2 linked regions of the Lepisosteus oculatus genome follow. The protein of the gene in region 2 purifies or fractionates together with the protein of the main gene of each other region. This does not show direct contact. Links are inferred from orthologs where the notes say so. Each region holds a gene or a part of one and is shown on either strand. Other genes may lie near its edges. The genes, in order: rabggta and ras-related protein Rab-5A.

The links.
Region 1: the proteins of ras-related protein Rab-5A (region 2) and rabggta purify together in Homo sapiens (affinity purification with mass spectrometry; 3 studies listed by BioGRID and IntAct, counting the BioPlex papers as one, with this or other methods). This does not show direct contact. The link is inferred for Lepisosteus oculatus from reciprocal best matches to the Homo sapiens genes RAB5A and RABGGTA.

Annotation. Positions count from the first base shown.
Region 1 is NC_090699.1:13,765,287-13,773,331, reverse strand, and holds the start of rabggta (geranylgeranyl transferase type-2 subunit alpha), read left to right. Parts: upstream 1-4,951; 5' UTR 4,952-5,049; exon of another isoform or gene 5,050-5,412; intron 5,413-5,522; 5' UTR 5,523-5,550; coding exon 5,551-5,553; intron 5,554-7,109; coding exon 7,110-7,220; intron 7,221-7,338; coding exon 7,339-7,463; intron 7,464-8,045. Other genes in the region: E3 ubiquitin-protein ligase TRIM39-like, read left to right, coding at 2,031-2,575. UniProt on the Homo sapiens protein: Catalyzes the transfer of a geranylgeranyl moiety from geranylgeranyl diphosphate to both cysteines of Rab proteins with the C-terminal sequence -XXCC, -XCXC and -CCXX, such as RAB1A, RAB3A, RAB5A and RAB7A.
Region 2 is NC_090705.1:30,054,925-30,062,848, forward strand, and holds the start of ras-related protein Rab-5A, read left to right. Parts: upstream 1-4,763; 5' UTR 4,764-4,947; intron 4,948-6,311; exon of another isoform or gene 6,312-6,334; intron 6,335-6,998; 5' UTR 6,999-7,069; coding exon 7,070-7,235; intron 7,236-7,621; coding exon 7,622-7,773; intron 7,774-7,924. Other genes in the region: efhb (EF-hand domain-containing family member B), read right to left, coding at 1-62, 1,239-1,382, 3,605-3,667, 3,943-4,005. UniProt on the Homo sapiens protein: The small GTPases Rab are key regulators of intracellular membrane trafficking, from the formation of transport vesicles to their fusion with membranes.

The sequences.
Region 1 (8,045 bases), on a different chromosome or scaffold from region 2:
TCAGTTTCAGGATGCTGCTCCCTCGCACCGTGGGTCAGTGTCTCCTGGCTCAGGGGGAGTCTCTGGGCTCCCTGCTGTATCTCCATGGTAACTCTGGGCTGCTCTGGAGCTGTTGCACTGGTACCCAGGAGGAGGTGTGGCCCCTCGCTGCTATTAGCTTGAGGGCCACTCGGCATTTCCTGCTGGCACTGCTCTCGAGACGCACGGTTCTGCACAGAGGAGTTCAGTACCAGTGACTCCATCCTCTCACCTGGCCATCCAGGGAAAGCTCTCTTCACTGGTCTGCAGCAGAACTGCCAGGTTCTCTCCTTCTGTAGTCTGTCTGAGCCAGGCGCTGCCTGTAGAAGTTATACTGTACCTGACCATCGTGATCTTCAGCATGAACACACACCTGCAGACTCACACAGCTGAGCCTTGAAGAGCAGGGTCACCAACACATGGCTCAACAAATACAAACAGTGAAAACAGTGAGATCTGGAGGTAAATTAATTATTAGTCCAGCAAACTGATGTCGAAACGAGTAAGGAAAGTTATTGAGGTTAAATCATTCTGTGCAGTAATATCCACAGATGTCCTTCCATCAGCTCTTACAGCCATTCCTGCAGACTGCCTTCATCTAGAACTGTCACTAATCATCACTTTTAAAAAGATGGAGATTTCAGTATTTTTATTTCTTTAACCTTTACATTTGACTGCAAAACTTTAATATCTGTTCCCCCAGTTTCTGAATATCCCTGCTTTCCCTTAAGAAATACAATTGTAGAGACTAATCACAACAAATAAATAACAAATCTGCTCAATTCACAACCAGATGTGACAAAACACATTCAAGACTCACAATATTTAAATATTTTCTTATTTTCTGTTCTCTTCACTCCCTGGGATAAAGAAAATACACTGTCGCATACAGTATATAATATGCTTTACATACAGCTACTTATGTGCAATAAAATTAATTTTTATTAAATTACCCTTATTAATAAGCACGTTAACTAAGTTCTTTATCAATAAATGTGGTTTCACTGGAAAGTAGTTTAAGCTAAACATTACAATCCTTTTCCAAGCGACGGACACATGACTTCCTGCCGTAGTGCCGGTGTTGTTTCCCCTCTATTCTCCTGTGATCCAGAGCTCCGCCTGTCCCACACTGAGCTGTCTCCCCATGTGAAGAGGCGCTGGGAGTCAGTCCTGTACTCCAGTCACCTCTAGAGGGCAGCAGCTCTCACTCTGGGCTCGTTGCAGTGGAGAGCAGGTTCAGCTCGGAGCTGCGGACTGATTTCAGCGGCCAAGTTCGTTGCTCTTGGTCTGAAGTTGGCGCGCTAGTTTAACACGGAGCTGTGTGCTGACCAGGGGCTGAGCTCCAGTTAGTGCGCTGTGTCAGTTCGTTACAACTGACCCACAATGTCTGTTTTTCAGGTTTCCATACGTATTACACTGATTTGTGTGTAACGAACAAGAAAAAAAGACACACACAAGCTTTGTCTGTTCTCTCTCGGGTTCCCCTGTCTTGTGTAAAGACAACTTCAGCCTTAATTCAGGTGACAGAGTTAAATACACTGACAGACAGCTCTTAACACACACAAACAACAGATCCTTTTTATTACTGTCCTCAGCAGCGCAGGAGGAGACAAGCTTGCAGTTACTGCCTGTGTGATTCAGGTCCCTGTTATTGTTAATGAAGTGGCAGCAATTTCAGCTTCTAAGAATTTTGTCTTAACGAGACTTTTATAATCTAACTGATAGAGAGGAACCAGAATAACCATGAAAAGACAGTTTGATCGTTTTTCTTCTTGTGAAATAATGTATCCATCAGTATAAAGATGCCCTCAGCCGTGTGATCTGCACACAGTGGATCATCAGGTCTCCTTCAGATTTAAAGACACTTTCTCCCACAGGAGCCAGACTCTCGCAGTGTGAGAGCTCTGCACACGCTCACAGCTCATCTCAGCCGGGCTGGGCCTGTATTTTCATCTGAGAGAGGAGTGAGATACAGATCATTTCATTCTCTCTGTCTGCTCTCTGATCCACAGCTGATGTGACTCTGGACCCCAATACAGCTCATCTCTATCTCATCCTGTCTGAGGATGGGAAACAAGTGAGACTGGGAGACACACGACAGGATCTCCCTGACAATCCAGAGAGATTTGATCATTGTCCCTGTGTCCTGGGAAAGGATGGGATCACCTCAGGGAGACACTACTGGGAGGTGGAGGTGGGAGAGAAGACTAAGTGGACATTGGGAGTCGCCAGAGAGTCCATCAACAGGAAGGGGGAGATCACAGTGAGCCCTGAGGATGGTTACTGGACTGTGTGGCTGAGGAATGGGAATGAGTACAAGGCTCTTGATGACTCCTCAGTCCTCCTCCCCCTGAGCCAGAAGCCCCAGAAGGTGGGGGTGTATGTGGACTATGAGGGGGGACAGGTCTCCTTTTACAATGTGGACAACAGGTCTCATATCTACACCTTCACTGCCTCCTTCACTGAGAAACTCTTTCCATACTTCAGCCCCTATCTTCATGAGGGAGGTACAAACTCAGCCCCACTGATCATCTGTCCTGTCAATCACACAGACTGAATCAGCACATTGTCTGATTCTCTCTCCTGGCATGTAAATCGTTTAGTCTTTTTCATTTGAAATTGTTCTTCTGTTTCTTGGGTGTTGTTTTCTCCACCCACTGCTGGGCATGTCCACATCTGCTCTCAACGCTACTCGTTCAGTCACCAGAAACATCATCACCTGTGGGAGGGGCTCTCTTGGAAAATGAAATTATTACTGGCTTGTGTCAAACTGTTCTACTTTCTACTTTCAGTCCATGTTATTGCTCTATTCTGTTTGCTCTGCATTAATCACTTCTTTCAGTAAATCAGTAAAATTGAGTCACAGTTGTTTTCTTTATCTCTCACCTGTAAATTCTCCAGATTCATGGCTGACTAGCTGGGTCACCATCAGACACAGACTAACACGTCAGCTGAATGCCAGTCGCTTTCTACATGATGGACATTGCTGCTTCACTGTCATGGCCTGGACTCAGATAGAACTATTTCTGTATTAAATAAACTCTGAAATTCTGAATATTTGACATTTGGTCTTCATCTTCATCTTCATCATGATTTAACATCAGCAGCTATATCACCCTGAAACTCACCCCTGTCAGTCCCCTGAATCTCAGCAGGTGTGAGCCTGGTCTGTATCTGGATGGGAGACTCCTGGGAGAGGTGTTAGTGGGGCCAGTAGGGGGTGCTCACCCTGTGGTGTGTGTGTATGGGTCCTCATTCCCCATTATAGTGATGGGGACACTAGACTGTAAAAAGGCACCTTTAATGGTTTCTGCTCAAGGGACCCCCAGACTTCAGCAAACATCCTCTCTGCTTTGAAGTTAGAAAAGTCACCTAAAACTGTAACAATATTTTAGAAAAAAAGTGCAATAATAAATACATCAGAACAATTCTAATTCAAAATACATCCGACCAAGAGATGTCTTCCCTGTTATCAAGGAGAAAGTAATTTTTAATGATATAGACAATGATTCTCCTATTTCTGCTAACCCTGAATACATTACTCTCCCCACGCCACCAAAAACTAAAGACATTTTCAAATACTGAGCAACACATATTTCTCTAAGGAATTTCTCAGAAAACGGTTTCACTTTGACTGTAACACCTGTGCTTTTTGTGAATCAGATATTGAAACAACCGAACACATTTTTTTCTCATGTTATCATTCAACCTATGGCTGCCATCGCATCATCCAGGTGGGGCTGCACATTGGTGCTGGTGGAGGGGATTCCCATTACCTGTAAAGAGCTTTGAGTGGAGTGTACAGAAAACCGCCCTATAAGTGTAAGCAATTTTGTATTATTATTATTATTATTATTATAGATTTATGACCCTCTGTATGTCCTTGGTTAAATAATAGTAATATTTGTGTAAATCTAACTTTTATGTGTATGTGTACACATATGTGTAGAGTAAAAAAACTGTGCTTTAAAGAATTTTCTAATTCAAGCTATACTCAAATTCATTTAAAATATAAAAATATGTTTGGTGAATTGGTTTACAGAAATCTTTTCACATATAAATTATTATCTAAACTTAATTACGCAGAATTATTTAATGTGACCCCTAAAATCACTCAACCTTTGCACTGTTGATAAGGTTCTGATTTGTTATTCTGTTTCATTCAAATGATGTTGTGACATCCGTACACCCTGGTTGTTGTATTTTTTTTATATACATAAAAATAAAACTTAGTTTTTTTAAAAAAAATAGCAGAAAACTTGCAGTAGTGTAGAATAGGAGTACCTACTGCAATCAACTTTTAAAGCAATTAAGGTGTATCTTCTTGTAACTACATTTGTGTGTTTTTACACCCCTTTGGTTATTTTGTATTTTTCACAGTCGTTTTTTTTTAGGTGTGGACATTGGGAACCCAGCTCCTCACAATAAACACTTTGCACTTCTGAGAAAATGATCTCCGAGACCTCCATTGTCATCCACCTCAGCCTGTAACAACATCCACACACGATATAACTGCTGTATCGACTGATCACTTCCTCCTTGTTTCTCTGCTCACATTAAATTAGATACGTTTCCACAGTCTTAATGTGCTGTAGTGGGTTTTTCTTGCAACTGCGTTTTTTTTTCAAAAACGTTCACATGTTTTCTAATATCACTGACTCTCGCGAATCACAGGGACACGCAGATATAAACAAAGACCGAGGAGGAAACGCCGCTGGACTGAACCAAGCTAGCAGTGCAAGGGGGGAACAGGTTAACCGGGTATTACACACAAACAAAGGTCATATGCCATGCTGAGTTGGCAGATAAATACTTTAAAACAAGTTTATTGATTGTTTATCACTGTGTGATTTGACGATCGTTGTATGTTGTCAGAACCCCGTTTTCACTAATCTGAAGATCCGGTGTCACGATGTGTTTAAAATGACCCCCCCTGCCTCCACGGTTCTCCTGCCAGACCCGGAAGAGCGCGGCGGCTCGAGGCGACGCTGTAGAGGTTCTGACATCCGGGATCCGGACTGACCGATACAGGTCTAGTACAGATCCAGTAGAGATATAGCACAGGTCCAGTAGAGATATAGTACAGGTACAGTACGCGTCCAGTAGAGATATAGTACAGATCCAGTCCAGGTCCAGTAGAGATATAGTCCAGGTCCAGTAGGGACAGAGGCGGACAGGGGGGTCACTACGTCAGAGTCCAGTTCAGCTCGGGTGTTTCTCTCCCTGCTCCAGTGTTATTATTGCTGCGATGCTGTTGTTGCTGTTGATGCTCAATGATCTGCAGCGCCCCGGTGCGTGCAGGGGCCGCTCAGCAGTGTGAACAGGACTTCAGCACGCTGGCTGGACAGTGTTTCTCTGCAGAGATCGTGGAAACCGGCTTTAACGTGTCGCCAGGTCTCACTGACAGCGTGTCTTCCTCTGGCTTGTCTGTCTTTGTGATTGACCTTGCCTGTCTGTCTCTCTGCCTGTCAGTCTGTTTCTAACTCTGCTTTGCTTATTTCCAGGACTGACAATCCCTAATTGACAGGAGTCATGGTGAGAGTAATTACATTATTGTTACTGATGAAGTAATCTTGTGTCCAGTGTGTCCAGTGTGTCTGTGTGTCTCTCTCTCTCAGTGCAGTGTTAATGTACTGGAGTGTCCAGTCAGTGTGTCTGTATGAACCCCTCTCTCTCAGTGCAGTGTTAATGTACTGGAGTGTCCAGTCAGTCAGTGTGTCTGTATGAACCCCTCTCTCTCAGTGCAGTGTTAATGTACTGGAGTGTCCAGTCAGTGTGTCTGTATGAACCCCTCTCTCTCAGTGCAGTGTTAATGTACTGGAGTGTCCAGTCAGTCAGTGTGTCTGTATGAACCCCTCTCTCTCAGTGCAGTGTTAATGTACTGGAGTGTCCAGTCAGTCAGTGTGTCTGTATGAACCCCTCTCTCTCAGTGCAGTGTTAATGTACTGGAGTGTCCAGTCAGTCAGTGTGTCTGTATGAACCCCTCTCTCTCAGTGCAGTGTTAATGTACTGGAGTGTCCAGTCAGTGTGTCTGTATGAACCCCTCTCTCTCAGTGCAGTGTTAATGTACTGGAGTGTCCAGTCAGTGTGTCTGTATGAACCCCTCTCTCTCAGTGCAGTGTTAATGTACTGGAGTGTCCAGTCAGTCAGTGTGTCTGTATGAACCCCTCTCTCTCAGTGCAGTGTTAATGTACTGGAGTGTCCAGTCAGTGTGTCTGTATGAACCCCTCTCTCTCAGTGCAGTGTTAATGTACTGGAGTGTCCAGTCAGTCAGTGTGTCTGTATGAACCCCTCTCTCTCAGTGCAGTGTTAATGTACTGGAGTGTCCAGTCAGTCAGTGTGTCTGTATGAACCCCTCTCTCTCAGTGCAGTGTTAATGTACTGGAGTGTCCAGTCAGTCAGTGTGTCTGTATGAACCCCTCTCTCTCAGTGCAGTGTTAATGTACTGGAGTGTCCAGTCAGTCAGTGTGTCTGTATGAACCCCTCTCTCTCAGTGCAGTGTTAATGTACTGGAGTGTCCAGTCAGTGTGTCTGTATGAACCCCTCTCTCTCAGTGCAGTGTTAATGTACTGGAGTGTCCAGTCAGTCAGTGTGTCTGTATGAACCCCTCTCTCTCAGTGCAGTGTTAATGTACTGGAGTGTCCAGTCAGTCAGTGTGTCTGTATGAACCCCTCTCTCTCAGTGCAGTGTTAATGTACTGGAGTGTCCAGTCAGTCAGTGTGTCTGTATGAACCCCTCTCTCTCAGTGCAGTGTTAATGTACTGGAGTGTCCAGTCAGTGTGTCTGTATGAACCCCTCTCTCTCAGTGCAGTGTTAATGTACTGGAGTGTCCAGTCAGTCAGTGTGTCTGTATGAACCCCTCTCTCTCAGTGCAGTGTTAATGTACTGGAGTGTCCAGTCAGTGTGTCTGTATGAACCCCTCTCTCTCAGTGCAGTGTTAATGTACTGGAGTGTCCAGTCAGTCAGTGTGTCTGTATGAACCCCTCTCTCTCAGTGCAGTGTTAATGTACTGGAGTGTCCAGTCAGTCAGTGTGTCTGTATGAACCCCTCTCTCTCAGTGGTAATGGACTGAGTGTCTCTCTTTCTCTCAGCATGGACGTGTGAAATTAAAATCCACGGCGCAGCAGGAGGAGGAGAAGCGTAAGGAGCGAGAGAAGAAGCTGACAGTGTACATCGCTGCCCGGGACGCCTGTTTTCAGAAGGTCAGGCTGACTGCTCCTGCACCGAGCACCCCGGAGGACGCGCAGAGGCTGTCACAGAGACGCGGAGTTACGCTGACCCTCTGTCTCGCATGTCTCTCTCTGTCTCTGTGTCTCCCAGAGGACGGAGGGCCAGCTGGATGAGGACAGTCTGCAGCTCACAGCTCAGCTCCTGGGCTCGAACCCGGACTTCGCCTCCCTCTGGAACTTCAGGAGGGAGATCCTGGGGCAGCTGGAGACACTCAGGTGATTAACGGGCCCGTGCCCATCGCACTGACTGGTGAGGTGTGATTGAATCTGACAGGATCTGTTCATGTGTGTCTAGATTATTATTATTATTATTCATGGAAGACAGTCCAAAAACAGGAGAGAGGGACAGTGAGGAGAGAGAGACTGACAGTGACACTGACCATTCACACTCAACAGCAACACATTGGAGCACACATCCAACTACACATATCTCGGTCTCACCATCAGCTCTTCCGGGAGTTTTGACCTGGCAGTGAAGGCACTGAGGGAGAAGGCACTCAGGGCTTTCTACGCAATAAGAAGGAGGCTCTTCAACATCAACCCACCAACAAGAATCTGGCTCCAAATATTTGAAAGTGTAATCCAACCCATTGCCCTATACGGCAGTGAAGTGTGGGGTCCCCTCACAGACCAGGAGTACACTCAATGGGACAAACACCCCACAGAAACTCTGCACATGGAGATCTGTAGAATGCTACAGAACCCTAAACAGACAATACACACTAGCTGAATATTTGACCAAAATAAGAAACAACAAGCAGAAACAGACCCTGACAAAGTACAGGCTCAGTGACCACA
Region 2 (7,924 bases):
CGTAGCTCTTGTAACTTTTGTTGAAAAAGTGTCTTTGGAGATGGATTAGTCAATAATGCCGCCTGTAATAATAATAATATCCATTCAATGAGAGGCACAGTGATTTATCAGTTAGTGCTGCTGTCTCACAGCTCTTGGATTTTAGTTTAATTCCAGTATAAATGGAGGTTTGAATGAATCCACAGAACACAAGTGGATGTTGTTGTAGAGCAGCTGAGTGATGTCACTTCCTAAAAAAGAACACTTAATATCTCAGAAACCAAAGCAGTACAAATACTGATTGGAACAGCACAAATGTAGCAGAAATGAATCACTTTTTAATCACTGTTAGTGTTTTTAGTAGGAGGACCAACCTTACAGAGCTAATCGAATTAGCTGGGAATGATGCTTCACCTGAAGAAAATATTTGTTTTCTATTATCCGTCGTTCCATTTTGAGGAGCGGGAATTGCATACACACAAAATTTTGCTGTTTTGCTTTTGGATCCGACAGACATTGTTTGCCACTCATTGCTTAAACATACTGTATCCAACAAAGGGACATCCCTCACCAGCGTCACACTAAGTGAACACAGGGTAAGCCTTCTCACTTCACCCAGAATTCCATGAGGTAATTGGGCTGAAGACATTTAGAGCTGTAAGGTGGTTGCAGTGCTAACCACCAAGCCAGCATACTACCGTCAAGTTAATAATCATCGTCAACATCGTCATAACAGTGCAGAAAATCATCAGAACAAGTTGGGAAGAGACAAATTAAATAGCTATACAGTTAACGGAATAAAGACAGAAAGTTAGTTAAACTTAGAAAAAAACAGATCCTAAAAAGAGATTGGGAATTTGAGCAATACTTCATTCTTAAATTGAAATGCTGAAAAACTGTTGCACCTGAGCATGAGAATGTTAAATGTAATGAAATCATGATTGTTATTGATCAAGAAATCCTTAAAGAAAAGAATTATTCCAAGATGACAGCACACTAACAAATGTTCAAAACTACTGTATATCAATCAGGATTAAGTATTACAAGGATATGATAGTCCACCTTAGAAACAAGGAAGAGTATGACAAATTTGAAAGAAATTATATCTTTTTTGTGAGCATTTACAGTATTAATGGTAAGTGGAGATGTAAAATCACAACAAAACACAAAAACAGTACATTAGACTATAATGCAATAAAGGTTCTGAATAAATTGTTTTGTTTCTGAGAAACTATGATTATATATGCCTACAGACTTACAGTTAAAGAGGGCCTTGTGCTCACACCATGCACAAGACTACTAGCTACATCTGGATCACCGGCTTTCCCATAGAACACTCTGACAGCCCCTGGATCTGGTCGTGTTGTGTTCAGAAACTTCTTAACTACTGGAGGAGTAACAGGCTGCAAATAAAGGTAAGAATATTACTAACACTTCATAGATACTAATGAGATCATGCATATCTAATAAAATTCAAGGTCACATAAATGCCTTCTTTTTGAAAATGTTTTCATAATGTCAAAGGCAATAAAAAAATCAATCACACATCATATCCAACATACAGTATATACATATATATGAATTGATACAAGTATAAATAATAATCACATATGCAGGATGAGGACTTTATTTAAAGCTTTTATAATTCCTGGCAAGAGACAGTACACTATATATATAGTATATATATATGTGTGTACAGTACATGTACCCATACACATATACAAAATAACATTGTTATACAGTTACTTTGCTATATAGTAATATTAAATATTACTATCATATAGTTAAATATATAAAATATTAATATATTAAATATATTTCTATATAGCTACAGTTAAAAGTTAATTCTCCCATAGGTAAGGACATGGAGTGCAAAAGAAGGCTTCTGCTTTTTTGTGCCCTTGGAAGACATTCCATAGCAGATGCCGGCTGTAGAAACATGTCCGATTAAACTGTGTAGTCTCAAACAGTAAATGGGATAGGCACCAGCTGTCTAGGAACAAGAATCCACAAAGAACTGCAGAAACATAAACTGCATCAAATTATATGAAGGTGGGTAAGCAATTATAAATACAGCACCAGATAATGTGGGGAAGCAATTAAGAAATAAACAAAACGCGAGGATGCATAGTTAAAAGCATAGGATTTAAAGAATTTCAAGGAATATTGTATAATGCACTAATAAGGACCCAATTAGAACATTGTGTATAATTGTGATCATCATGTAAATATATTGCTGATCTAGAATCAGTCCAGAATATAGTGAATTCCTTGGCTTATTGGAATGTCCTATACTGACTGGCTGAAGGAACTCAACATTTTAGTCTTAAACAGGGAAGATTATGAGGAGACCTGATATACTGTATATATTTAAAATCTTCTATGTTATTGACAAGGTCAACTCAGTGGATCCCAAAGGGTAGTGAGAGCATAAAACAAGAAATGGCTGGACAAAATCCTTGGATTCATTAACTACTAACTACCAAATAAGCTAGAATGGCCAGCAGCCATATCACCCTGCAACTCACAACTGGCAACCCACTGAAGCTAAGTAGGTGTGTGCCTGGTCAGTACCTGGATGTATTTTCCCGGGAAAAACTGAGTTTGCTGCTGGAAGAGGTGTTAGTGGGACCACCAGGGGGCGCTCACCCTGCAGTCCATGTGGGTCCTAATGTTCCAGTATAGTGACGGGGACACTATACTGTAAACAGGTGCCGTCCTTTGGATGAGACGTAAAACCGAGGTCCTGACTCTCTGTGGTCATTAAAAATCCCAGGGCGCTTCTCGAAAAGAGTAGGGGCGTAACCCCGGCATCCTGGCCAAATTTCCCATTGGCCCTTACCAATCATGGCCTCCTAATAATCCCCCTCTATGAATTGGGTACATTACTCTGCTCTCATCCCCACTGATATCTGATGTGTGGTGAGCGTTCTGGCGCACTATGGCTCCCGTCGCATCATCAAGGTGGATGCTGCACGTTGGTGGTGGAGAGGAGTCCCCATTACCTGTAAAGCGCTTTGAGTGGAGTGTCCAGAAAAGCGCTATATAAGTGTAAGCAATTATTATTATTTATTATTAAATGGCATCCTCTCATTTTTAACTTTTTTTACTTTCTTAATAATTTCCTCCTGTAGACAATATGGAGATGCACTAAAACACAGTTGCAAGACAAATATAGTTAAAGTTTAAATGAATTTAAACCAAGGAACATTACATTTAAAAAGTGCAATACAGTACAGTAAGGTTTAATTTAGAACGGTGCACAACTGTCGTCACTGTGCGACATACAAAAATATAATTATTCTTCCACCCTTAAAAGGAAGAGTGATCAGATAGTCCCCAGGCTTCAATAATATTCATACAAGGACAGTCTAAGAAATTGTATTTTTGATAAAGGCAATACAGTTGATCTCATCAGAATCGACCATCCTACACAAGCCAAGGATACAAGCGGAATCCATGGGGGAAATCTGAAAACGGGGGATATTTTTTTCTTCAAAGTGTTTGGGTTCCTGGAACATACAGTCATGTTCCCGATACTCATACCTCAGGCTTCTTTTATCAATTAACTACTATTAGGCACCAGTAGCCCAAACTGGCTGCGAATTAAGAAAACAAAACTTACCCTGGGAGTAATTTCCTTAAGACATGTTTCTGCTCTTTCGCCTGTTGGTATTAACTTTCCTGCCTACGAGAGAAATCAGCGCACAAAATCAGTGTAGGTTCCATAAAAAAAAAAATCTTATACAAATACTCATATCACGTCTACACATAAATACACATGACAAATTAGAAATTAGATGATTTAATCAAAACGGTTTTCAATCCACCTTAAATCCACCATAACTAGATGTATTTGTACTACAAGGAACACAGAGATATTCTGGTTTCTAATTCTGGCTGGTCATGAAGTATTTTGCAAGCTAAAATATTACACGATGAAATAAATAAATAAAACATTACCGATTTAATACTTGGAAATCTGTCCTTATATTTCGCAGCATATATAGCCTCACGTTCCAACATTTTTCCTCTTTGTAGTATAAGAAAATTGAACGTTGTACTACATCGAAAAGCGGTTTGTCTTCAAGCGCTACATAAAGATATTTCTCATATCACACTCCTGCACAAGTCAGTGGCTAGCACTGCATTGTTCAAGTACTGGGATCATGATACATTTCACATAATGTTTATGGTGCGCAGCTAGGCAACAGGTGCTAGGAGACAGCTGCTACACATCAGCAGCGACTGTGCTGCTTCCATTATGTATGTAGTACATGACAAAACGTCAAAGCTCACATGGCACAGTGAGAGGTAAACTAGGCACTTTTAGATATTTCCCTCCAAAATATGAAGGCTTTAGAAGGGATAATTTTTGAATTACACAATAGTACAGCCCATTAAGATGCTACAGGTTGAAAACTCGATTCCTTCAAGGATTCATAATTGAAACATGCAGGATCTTTCAAGAGGTTTTCTGTATGGTTTTCTTTGGGATATGATGCCAAATACCGTAGAAAAGAAACACGAAACAAATTAAAAGCACAAAATCGCAATTAATAACAAGAACCGTGTTTTATTCTGCATATTTTTTGGGAAAAAAACACTGGGCTTTGCAACCTCACACGTGAATGCTTTGAGTACTTTATAGGTGACTGCCGTAGTAGAAACCGAACAACACTAATTAACTAACACTAATTGCATTGCAAAGCCTTGCAGAACTGCTATGTGACGTGGCGGATGAGGGGCGGATGCGCTTGTGTGACGTAAGGTGAGGGGCGGAAGTGCTCGTGTGTGTGTTTTGGTTCTAAAGGGGGAAGTTGCGAGAAAAAAAGAAAGGAGGAGACGTGATCTGGTCCGGTGAAAATATACGTATTTTTACAGCTTCAAGAAACTGTATTTTAAACATTTCTGTACAAGCCCCCTGTGTTGGAAGGTCGTGAAAATACATATTCTTCTGTCCATCAGGTAAAGTGATCAAGTTGTTGAATCATCGGTGTTCGTTGATAGTGGGGAACACAAACAGGCCCTAGGTCTGGGGAAGAGCCTTTTTGTTAGTTTTCCTAAATTGTTAACAAGAATTTGCGGTTTGTATTGTTTATGGATTTTTAATCATTATATGTAGAGGTGTAAGGTAATGTCACCTTCTATTTTTAATACGCAATTAAATCTTGATTAATTGATTGCAGAAGAGGAAATGTATATTTGATTTTCCCAAACTAGTGTTATCCAAAATGGCGTCTTCCTTCTGCATTTTAAGAAACAAAACGAAAGGGGTTGGAAAACAATACATTTTTAAACTCATCTGATTTTGCTTCTTTAAGCCTTTATTTTTGTCGAGAGTCACCCGACGTAGCAGAGCGTTAGAACTGGATACATAGTTTGTACCGGAAGAGTTTTATTTCTCGGCGTGATACTGGGGTATTCCACTCAAACAGCATGTATAAATTATGGAAAGTAATCTCAATATAATCACATTTTTTTCCATTAGACGTAACACGTTGGCAGACTTCGATTGCCTTGACATGATCAGATATTCTGTGTAGTTTGCTAATAATTGGAAGTAAGCATCCAACACCGTTTTTGCGGTGTATCTGTATCATTACCTTCGACAACATGATGCGTTGCTTCTGTTAGTGTTGTTTTCTAAATAGCATTTTAATAGTTTTAAGGTACATAACGTGGATATCAGTTTCTTCAAAAAGTGATCACCTGCTTAACAAGGGTGCGTCTGTTTTCTTACAGCTGTGTACACAGACAGTGACTTCAAACGTCACAGGCCTAACCTATGTCTTATTTACTTGCTGTCGCTATCCTAGTCCAGGCGATTGTAAATTCATAAGTCCCCGAATAGAGGATAATAAAATAATTTCTGTAATGCACATTCATCTTAACCAGGAAAACCAAACCAAGGTGCAGAGGACACCAACACTCAAATACTGTACCATGGAAGCAAGTCGCTTTTCCGTTCCCAGAATAAATCAGAGTTGGGTTTATACCGTGTTTTGGTCTCCCGAGGGTAGACTTCATTATTGCATTTATATCTTTCATGGTTTTCTGAATAGTTTCATGAAGTGGTGTCTATATGTTATGTTTAAATACGAAAAATGTGCTTTGAAAGCGGATGCTGTGTTTGTAACGGTAATGGCAATATTGATCTGTTGATTTTCAGATTAGTAAATAGTTCTCCATGATAATTTGTTTGGTCTTTGTTTTAAGTGCTATTATAATGTTGCTTATGTTTTAATTAATGCACTTTTGTTGACCTAATTAAATTATAGCCATGCTATTTCAATGTGCATCTGATTTTTGTTTTACAGAAATGTTGCAAGAATTCAGCTTACTACAGTTTGATGTCAGTTCCTTAATTTTGTCTTATCCAGAAATGACCTTTTCATTACCTAAATCATGTCCTTTAATTTATAGAATGTTATAGGCTTTAATCTGAATAACACTAGAAATCTATAAAATATAAGCGATTGTATAGGCCAGTAACTGCATGTCTACGGTTCTTTAAGGCTGATGTATTCAGTATATAGAATCAACATTAATGTTTAAAAATAAAGGTGATTTAGGATCTGTGTTAATTATGTAATAATTTCAGAAATTAATGTCTGTAATACTTCATATGTTCACTATTCAAGTCCTATGCAACAGAATAATATTGTATATTGTTTATAACATTATCAGGGATTCACAAGAGATGGTACAGACTTAATATGCTGAAAAGTAAGCAAAAATGAAGGTTAGATTACATTAGTTTTTAGCAAATAAAACATTTCTTTAAGGGTTTGCTGGAGTGAAGACACGGGATAGAAGTGCAAACATTACATACCCCAACTGTAGACTTAATTTTCTCAAGAATCTTCAGAATTGCTGGTAATGTTTGAAGTTGAAAACATCCTTTAACTGTAGCAGCCAGATTCATACAGTAGAGACAAGGACATGTCAGAGTTCTTCACTGCTTATCATGCCTTTATCGTCCCTGGTTTTTATTGTTGTCATGTCTTTATTCACAGTTTTATAACCGAGAAGACAAGGAGGACAGTGGTCAAACAAGAGTCCAGAGCAGGAGACTGGTGTTTAGGTCATGGCAAGTCGAGGAGGTGCAACAAGACCCAATGGACCAAATGCCGGCAATAAGATTTGCCAGTTTAAGCTAGTGCTTCTTGGAGAGTCTGCTGTGGGGAAGTCCAGTTTAGTGCTGCGCTTTGTGAAAGGGCAGTTTCATGAGTTTCAAGAGAGTACAATAGGAGGTAAGTAGAGAAAAGGTACTTCAGTGAATCTGAACCGAAGCTGTTTTTTTTTAATTAATAGGATGTCTGTTTGAGTTCTTGATTTATTTGTGGTTGGTAGTGGATGTTACTCTGGTATGTTTTGAAGTTAAATCCCTGGTTCAAGAAACTGTTGGAAGAGATTCTTGGATCCTTTGGCTACTAACTATCAAACGGGCTAGATACGCTGAATGACCATCTGTCCCTTGTAACCATTCTTTTGTTCTTAATGTGCTCTGTTGTGGCCGTTGGAGTTAAAAGAATCTAGGAGTTCACTCTTCCTTTAAGATGGTAAATGCATGCTGTGATTATCTGTACAAAACATGTCATCATTGCTTTTTCTTGTGTGTTTATCCTTTTAACTGTAGCTGCTTTCCTGACGCAGACTGTGTGTCTGGATGACACAACAGTGAAGTTTGAAATCTGGGACACTGCTGGACAAGAGCGTTACCACAGTTTAGCACCAATGTACTACAGAGGCGCACAGGCTGCTATAGTTGTATATGACATTACAAATGAAGTAAGTGTGAAAAACAGTGCAAAATTATGAAATAAATAGAATTTTAGCACGATTTAAAAAATTCTAATCTTTTGTGGAATCTTGGTGATTGGTGTAAATCCTGCAGCAATTTTAGGATTGCTTTCACATTAGATGGTAAAGAAACTTATCA